Linked DNA regions of Oryctolagus cuniculus. Each later gene encodes a partner of the first gene's protein in a complex. Links are inferred from orthologs where the notes say so. Each region holds a gene or a part of one and is shown in the gene's direction. Other genes may lie near its edges.

Evidence for each region.
Region 2: SPTSSA (region 1) and SPTLC3 share a complex: the UniProt entries of both Homo sapiens proteins name them as parts of the serine palmitoyltransferase (SPT) complex. The link is inferred for Oryctolagus cuniculus from reciprocal best matches to the Homo sapiens genes SPTSSA and SPTLC3.

The regions. Positions count from the first base shown.
Region 1 is NC_091443.1:40,979,451-40,983,621, forward strand, and holds the start of SPTSSA (serine palmitoyltransferase small subunit A), read left to right. Parts: upstream 1-1,322; 5' UTR 1,323-1,387; coding exon 1,388-1,499; intron 1,500-4,171. UniProt on the Homo sapiens protein: Component of the serine palmitoyltransferase multisubunit enzyme (SPT) that catalyzes the initial and rate-limiting step in sphingolipid biosynthesis by condensing L-serine and activated acyl-CoA (most commonly palmitoyl-CoA) to form long-chain bases.
Region 2 is NC_091442.1:38,096,867-38,100,432, forward strand, and holds part of SPTLC3 (serine palmitoyltransferase 3), read left to right. Parts: intron 1-1,154; coding exon 1,155-1,374; intron 1,375-3,566. UniProt on the Homo sapiens protein: Component of the serine palmitoyltransferase multisubunit enzyme (SPT) that catalyzes the initial and rate-limiting step in sphingolipid biosynthesis by condensing L-serine and activated acyl-CoA (most commonly palmitoyl-CoA) to form long-chain bases.

The DNA.
Region 1 (4,171 bases):
GTCAAGTCCCTAATAACCAGCTCATAAACAACATTTGATTGTCTGTAAATGAGTAGAGTTCTTAACCATGAAAAATTTAAAGCTGAAGCAGTAGGCTGCTATTTGACCTAGAAAGCTTTTCATTTAAGTTACAGAGATCTTGCATCCAGCGGTTCACTTACCAAATGGCCATGACCCTGGGGGCCTGGAAGCCAGGAGCTTCACCCAGCTCTCCACATGGGTGGCAGGGGCCACTTGGGCCATCTTCCACTGCTTTCCCAGGTGCATTAGCAAGGAGCTGGATTGGAAGTGGAGCAGCTGGGCCTCGCATGGGTGCCCATATGGGATGCAGGTGTGGCAAGCAGATGATTAACCCTCCCCCGACTCTGCGCCACAATGCTGGCCCTAACCTAGAAAGCTTTTAACCCTTAAACAGCAGGCGATTTGACTGTGTTATTTCACCTGCAAACCCTGCACGGAGTTCCTTATGGGAAAGCCCAGTGTTGCTGGTCCATCTGCCAGTAGAGAAATCCTGACGTTCACGAGTGCATCTCCACGAGGCATCATCAGCCAGTTTACCCATCTCAAGCTGTCATCTGTAGAACACAGCTCACTGTGGTTCTCCTGGCCTTGACTCTGATGGTCCACAGGTACCCGTAACCGTTAAGAGGTGGGCAGATAGACAGCTGCGGTGAACCGTCTTGTCTTTAGGTTAAGGGGTGCGCGGGGTGTGTTGGTGTGTTTGGACGTGTTTTTGGGGAGGGAAAGGAAGGAGGCCGTTCTAGACTTGACTTTGTGGCGTTCGCCTCCCCACCCTCTTGCAGCCCCCTAATCTCCTCCGTGCACTAGTCCCGGCTATACATGCATTCATGTAGCTGACGCGCGTCCCCGGCCGGAGGGACCCAAGGCGTTCTCTTCCAATCCTGCAACCCCCCTGCCCAGAGGAATGCCCGAGGCACAGCAGGTGTTCCCAAGGCGTTCTCTTCCAATCCTGCAACCCCCCTGCCCAGAGGAATGCTCGAGGCACAGCAGGTGTTCCGCAAACATTTCTTCGGCCTGCACTACCGCGACGCAAGGCCGCAGAACCGGGACCCCAGCGGGCACCAACGGCCGGGCCCTGGCGCCCGCGCGGAGACCGTTCTCCGGGCTCGCGTGGGCGCGGCCCGGGGGGCCGCCGGGGAGGGGACCGGCAACGCGTGGCGGCGGCAGGGCCAATGAGCGCCGGCGGGCGGGGCTCGCGGCGGCGCCCGGGCGCGCGCGGGGCTGGGCGTGCCGCGGCTGACGCGCAGGGCCGGGAGGGCCAATGGGCGCGGGGTGGCGGGCGGGCGGGCCTGCAGGCCGGGGGCTGGAGGACGGCGAGCGGGCGGCGGGCCGGACAGACTGACGTGCGGCTGCATCGCGGAGGCGCATGGCGGGGATGGCGCTGGCGCGGGCCTGGAAGCAGATGTCCTGGTTCTACTACCAGTACCTGCTGGTCACGGCGCTCTACATGCTGGAGCCCTGGGAGCGCACTGTGTTCAGTATCCTGCCCGGGCGGCGGGCGCGGGGGGCCGGCGTGGGGGCGCGGGCCGCATCCTCAGGGCCCGGGGCCTGGGTCCGGGCGCGGCGGCGGCGGCGGCGGCGCTGCGGGGCACGGAGACTGCAGGTCTCGGGGCTGAGGACGGCGCTGGCGCGGTGAAGGGAGGCGAGGACCCTGGAGATCCGGGGTTGCTCGTGAAGTCACTGGACCCAAGGTAGAGGCGTCTTTATTTCTGGAGGAAATCCCCGAGGGCGATGTCTAACCGGGTGCGTCCTCGCCTCCACTGGGGCCGCGCCTGCCTTTGGTTCAGTCTCCGGTTCTGTGGGAGGCAGGGGCCGTGTTAAGTGGAGCAGATCGCTCCCGGCTTGGAAGCCTTTGACCTTTAACTGTCCCCGGTTTAGCTGGCTTTGGTCCCAAGGAGAATTCCAACCGGTTGGCCAGCTTTTTAACCACGTTGTGAATTTGTGGTCATGACACCGAAATCCAGTTTTGGAAAGCAGTCTTAAGTTATTGCACCGTTTGGGTCATCAAGATGGGTAGTTTAAAAAGTGTGTGTGTGTGTGTGTGTGTGTGTGTGTGTGTGTGTTTAATTTTCCCACGAAGTCTTTGCACCGTAGGTAGAAGCCATGCCTGAAAAGGAATTCGTGGTGAGCTGTGGATAGGGTTTGAAACTATTTGGGTGGGTAGTTAACAAATTCTTAGGAAGAACTCTTGAGTGATTACTATAAGCAAGGCAACTGTGCTAGGCACTTTGGCTGTACCTTACCTCCTCTAACTTTCACAACATTCCAGTTAATAACTCAAGGTTGTGGAGACTCCCTGAAGTCTGTGATCCCCCCCCTGCCCCGTCTCCAGTTGTTTTTATTGGCATCCTTTGATTGGCATCTTTTGAGGATATTGTTGTAGAATAAATGCTATTGATAAGATGTTACTTTTTAAAAAAAACTTCGGGTTCCAGCATGAAACAGATACTTCACACAGCCTGTTTCCCTCATCCAGGCTGTCTGCTTTCCCTTGTGGATTCCTTGGAGTAGCTTGCTTTAGAACAACTTGGTTAATGCACTGTTGCATTCCGGCGAGTGAGTGAGTGGAGGTAGTTTTGTTCCTAGTCTATCAAGTGTGTTTGTGGTTAAATAGCAGAAGGTTGTACGCAAAGCTCTTTTTTGTTCCAGCACTTTTGAGGAATTTTGGCTGCTTACAAAGCAATTTATTTATTACTCTTGGTCTTTCTTCCCAAATCTGGAATTTAAGAACCAGAATACATGTTTTGGTTTTATGCTTTGAATATAAAATCTGCCTGATTTCCTGCAGTTTTTTTTTTTTTTTTTTTTAAGCTAGAGTTTAGTCTCATTCTAGTGTCTATAGGTTAGGACTTGTGAGGTCAGGCCTTGTCAAATGTGTACTTTAATGGGTATGTGTTTGAAATTTCTCACTGGAAGCATGTAATCTTGACTCATTCAAAATCATCTTGAAGTTAATTTAAACAATGGAGGAATAAATTGAAACACTTTGAATCAGAGGTTGCATGTTGAGCCCACTTCTGGAGTCTCTGGTAGATTTTATACTTAGAAGCTTTTGTTGACATATGGATAAATGCTACAATGTCAGTCGTGTAAGAATTATTCCGTATTATGGTGCAGTAATAAGAGTCTTATAAATACCAAGGCATTTTTGAGGTTGGAGAAATAAATTATGAAGTGAAATGTAGTACCTCTATTGATTTTTGCCTTTTTTAATGTCTCACTGTCTTATGTGACCAAGTGATTAAATTTTTTTAGGTTAGTGAGAAATGCAACCACTGGTATCTGGTGCTATAGAATATTATGATTTTTAAAAAATATTTATTTATTTATTTGAAAGAGTTACACAGAGAGAGGAGAGGCAGAGAGAGAAAGAGAGGGAGGGAGGGAGGTCTTCCATCCGATGGTTCACTCCCCGGATGGCCGCAACAGCCCCAGCTGTGCTGATCAGGAACCAGGAGCTTCTTCCAGGTCTCCCACGTGGGTGCAGGGGCCCAAGGACTTGGACCATCTTCTACTGCTTTCCCAGGCCATAGCAGAGAGCTGGACAGGAAGTGGAGCAGCCGGGTCTCGAACCGGCACCCATATGAGATGCTGGTGCTTCAGGCCAGGGTGTTAACCCACTGAGCCACAGCACTGGCCCCAGAATATGATTTTTAAAAATAGATTTATTTGCTTCTTTGAAGACAGAGTTAGAAGGAGAAGCAGAGAGATCCTCCATCTGTCATTTCACTCCCCAAAAGGCTGCAATAGCCGGGCTGGACCAGTCTAAGCCAGGAGCTTCTTCCCAGTCTCTGACTTGGGTGGCAGGGCCCCAAGCACTTGGACAGTCTTCTGTTAATGTGGCTTTCAGAAAAGTCCTTTCACACAAGAGGCATTTATCAGCTGGTGCACTGTGAGCAAAAGCTATGACATCTAAAAAAACTGGAAATTAGTATTTCTACTCTTAGATTATTATCAACTGTTTAATTTATAGTATTTCACTTTGACTTCTAGTTATTTATTCATTTTTAGAAGATTTTATTTATTTATTTGAAAGGCAGAGTTATATATAAAGAGACACAGAGAGAGATCTTCCATCTCTGGTTCACTCCCCAGATGGCTGCAATGGCCTGGATGGGGCCAGGCCAAAGCCAGGAGCCTGGAATTCCAC
Region 2 (3,566 bases), on another chromosome or scaffold:
CTTTCTCAGGCCATAACAGAGAGCTGCATTGGAAGTGGACTTGAACCGGTGCCTGTATGTGATGCCGGAGCTGCAGGTTGGGGCCTTAACCCGCTGTGCCACAGCGCCACCCCCAACAGTTATTTTAAAGCCGCTGACTTCCAGAGGTGCCATAAAATATTATTAATTTTACTTATTTATTGACTTTGTATTTTTCCCCCTGAGACAGGACTTGAAGTGTTTGGCAACTTACACTATGGGTTAATGCAAAAGGGTTCATCTACAGGAGCAGTCCTCAAAGTGCTGTCCCTGATGACGGGGATCAGAAACTCTGGGGAGTCTGGAAAAAATGTACTATTTCAACACTGACCTGCTCAATCAGAAACTCTGGGGGACAGACCCAGAAATCTGTGTTTTCATAAATAGTTGCTCAACTTTGTTTCACTGCCCCAAGAGTAGAAAGCGGAGACAACACCAGGTGCCTCAAATTAGCCTTTGACTTTCAATAGGTATTGAATAAGAGGTCCTTAGGACTTTTTACTGTGCCTTAGTTAATACTCTGAGGTCCTAACTAATTTTCTTTCGTGTGTTTTTAATTCCTTCTTTTAATATTTGTGTGTTTTCAATTCCTCCTTTTTAATATTTGACAATTCATGCATAAATGGAAAAATGTGGGTCACTGCAGAACAATTTTTATTGTTTTTTTTTAAGTTCTATAAGTTTCATGTATTTCATGTATACAGATTTAGAAATACAGTGAAACTTCCTACCCTAACCTCCCTCCTGCCCACCCTCCAGCCCTTCTCTTCCCTCTCCCATTCCCACTTTTAATTTTTACAAAGATCTACTTTCAGCTTGCTTAATGATCGACTGTTAACCCTACACTAAGTAAGAGGGTTCAACAAATAGTAGGAAGAAAAAACACACAGCTCCTCAGCAGAAGAGACAAGGGCTGTAAACAGTCATCAAATCTCAAAATGTCCATTTCACTCCAATATAGTGCATGTTAGTTACTCTATTAGTTACCTTGGATCAGGGAAAACATATGATCACTGAAGAGCAATTTAATAAAAAAACTAGCAGAGGACCTAGAATCCCAGTGCATGTACTGGGAGATTGACAGAGCACCCCAGGAGAGTATTCATTAGTTACGAGCATTTCTGCTTCTGCCATAGCATGGAAGGTTCCATTGTGCGGCTTCCCCAGATCGTGGCCCTAAAGAAGAAATACAAAGCTTACCTCTACGTAGATGAAGCTCACAGTATTGGGTCAGTGGGCCCAACCGGCCGGGGCGTTTCCGAATTCTTTGGAATAGACCCTGGAGATGTTGATGTGCTCATGGGCACGTTCACCAAAAGCTTTGGAGCCGCAGGAGGTTACATAGCTGGAAAGAAGGTAAGAGACTCCTAGTGTCTTTAAAATCTGCTGGCCGCTATGAACTCCGGGGAAGCTTCAGCTCAGTTCACCTCACCTTGACTCAGCCCTGCAGCTGAGTAACAATGGATCCACACCCAGGTGAGGCCAAGGACTTCACGGAGCTCACTCTCTAATTGTGGAGAGCAGCATGGAGTGAGTGCTCACTTTATAATAAGATGCCAAAGCTTACCCAAGATTCAGTACAAAGGAGAGGCATAACAGACTCACTAGGGGAGTTTCTGGGATGTCTCCAGAATGAATGTCAGCCTTGCCGACAAGTGATGGGAGAGTGGATTATTCCTCAGAGAGGAATAATGTATACTCAGCCACAGAAGTGATTAGGGGATGTTACAAGACAGATCTGCAAGTAGTTTGTGTTTTGTGAAGAACGCAAAGCAGGTAATAGTAACAGTAGGCAAAGGCCAGGTGTTAAGGAGGCTGACCTTATGTTAGGCTATAAGCTATGAGTTTTGAGAGTTTTCATCGGAACAATGGCAGGATCAGTGGCATTTGTGGGCACTCTCATGGAAAGTGGAATTAAAAGAGAAGTTTATTTTGTGCAAAAAAAGTTGAAAACCATATATAAAAAGGATCTTAATATATTCATGGAAGATGTATATTATTTAAAAAAAATTATGTGTGAATGTCAGTTTTTGTACCACAATAAATTTACCTTTTAATCCATTTTTTCATGAACTTTTTGAAATACCCATTGTACTTCTAAGATACTCTGCAAAAACAGTTCTTTCCATAGTGTTGGGTAAGCCATAGGTCAAATCTTCCCACTCTCTAATCTTATCTATATACCTAAAAGATTTTATGTGATGAAATTAGACTTTTTAAATGAGTGCTAGCTCTGTTATTCGAGTGTTAGTACCACCAATGGGTTTGTGAATATAAAACAATAAATGTTCGGAAGACATTTTAAAAGAAGAGGGGCTGGATGGGAGAGGGTTGTGGCCCAGTGGATTAAGCAGCCCCTTGGGTCACCCACATCCCCTATCAGAGTACTGAGTCAAGTCCTAGCTATCTGCTTCTCATCAAGTTCTCTGCTAATGCACCTGGGAAGCAGACACTGCGCTCCTGTTACCCAGGTGGGAGATTCAGATGGCACTCCTGGCTCCTGGCTTCAACCTGGCCCAGCCCCGGCTATTGTGGCCATCTGGGGAGTGGAACCAGCAGATATAAGATATATAAGATATTTCTCTCTCTCTCTCCCCCCTCTCCCCCCTCCTTCTCTTCCCCTCCCTCCCTCTCTCTCCCTCCCCCCTTCTCCTCTCTTTCTCTCTCCTTCTTTCTTTCTCTCCCCCCACTCACCTTTCAAATAAATAAACAAATCTTTCAAAAGAAGAATGAGAAGGGGGAGACATGGAGATGACAGGGGAGGAGAAGGAGGATGGGAAAGGGAAAGTCTGATATTCAAACTCGGATTTGAGCATAAGGGGGCCAGATGTCTCCCCCATTATATGACAGCCTTATCCAAACCTTGACAGCAATCTCATACAACCCTATATCCACCCCAAAGAGATCGTGCGACAGTGGTGCTGGCTCACCTCAGATGGAAGAGCAGGCCGCAAACCAGTGCACACAGGTGGCACCAATGGCTTATCTAAACTTCTCCATTCCTTGCCCATTGTGATCAGAAGGAATAAAATTCCTGGTAAACCAGTTAGACAGATCAAGGAGTGCAGCAGAAAACAGTCCTGTCATTCAAAGCCCGTGATTTAAAACAACAGATTTCATCTTGGCCACTCGCCCTGCTATGATGCTGAAAATACTCAGCGTTTTAAGTGGACTTTACCCCTCACTAAGCACTGCTCTATCCCAGGCTCCCAGCGTTCCGTTTTCAGCCTCCTTCCACTGGCCTGTGGGAATTAGCTGGGTGATGCGGAAAACCTAGAGCATGCCCAGGATCCTACACATGTCAGCTAAACCCGGTGAAAGGTTCAATGCTCCCCTCACAGCGCTCACAGCAGTGGGATCAGAGGGCCTCAAATTTAGGAGCTCCTCTTACCGAGACTGCAATGTTTTGTGAGCTTGAGGTTTGGTGATTACTTTAGCAGAGCCCTGAGCTCAAACATTTTAACCAGGCATAACTCTGCTTCCAGAGTGAAAGGCACCTGAATAAACTGGAGCAAGCAGATCCTTGAAATGCTGTCAAATTTGGTAGA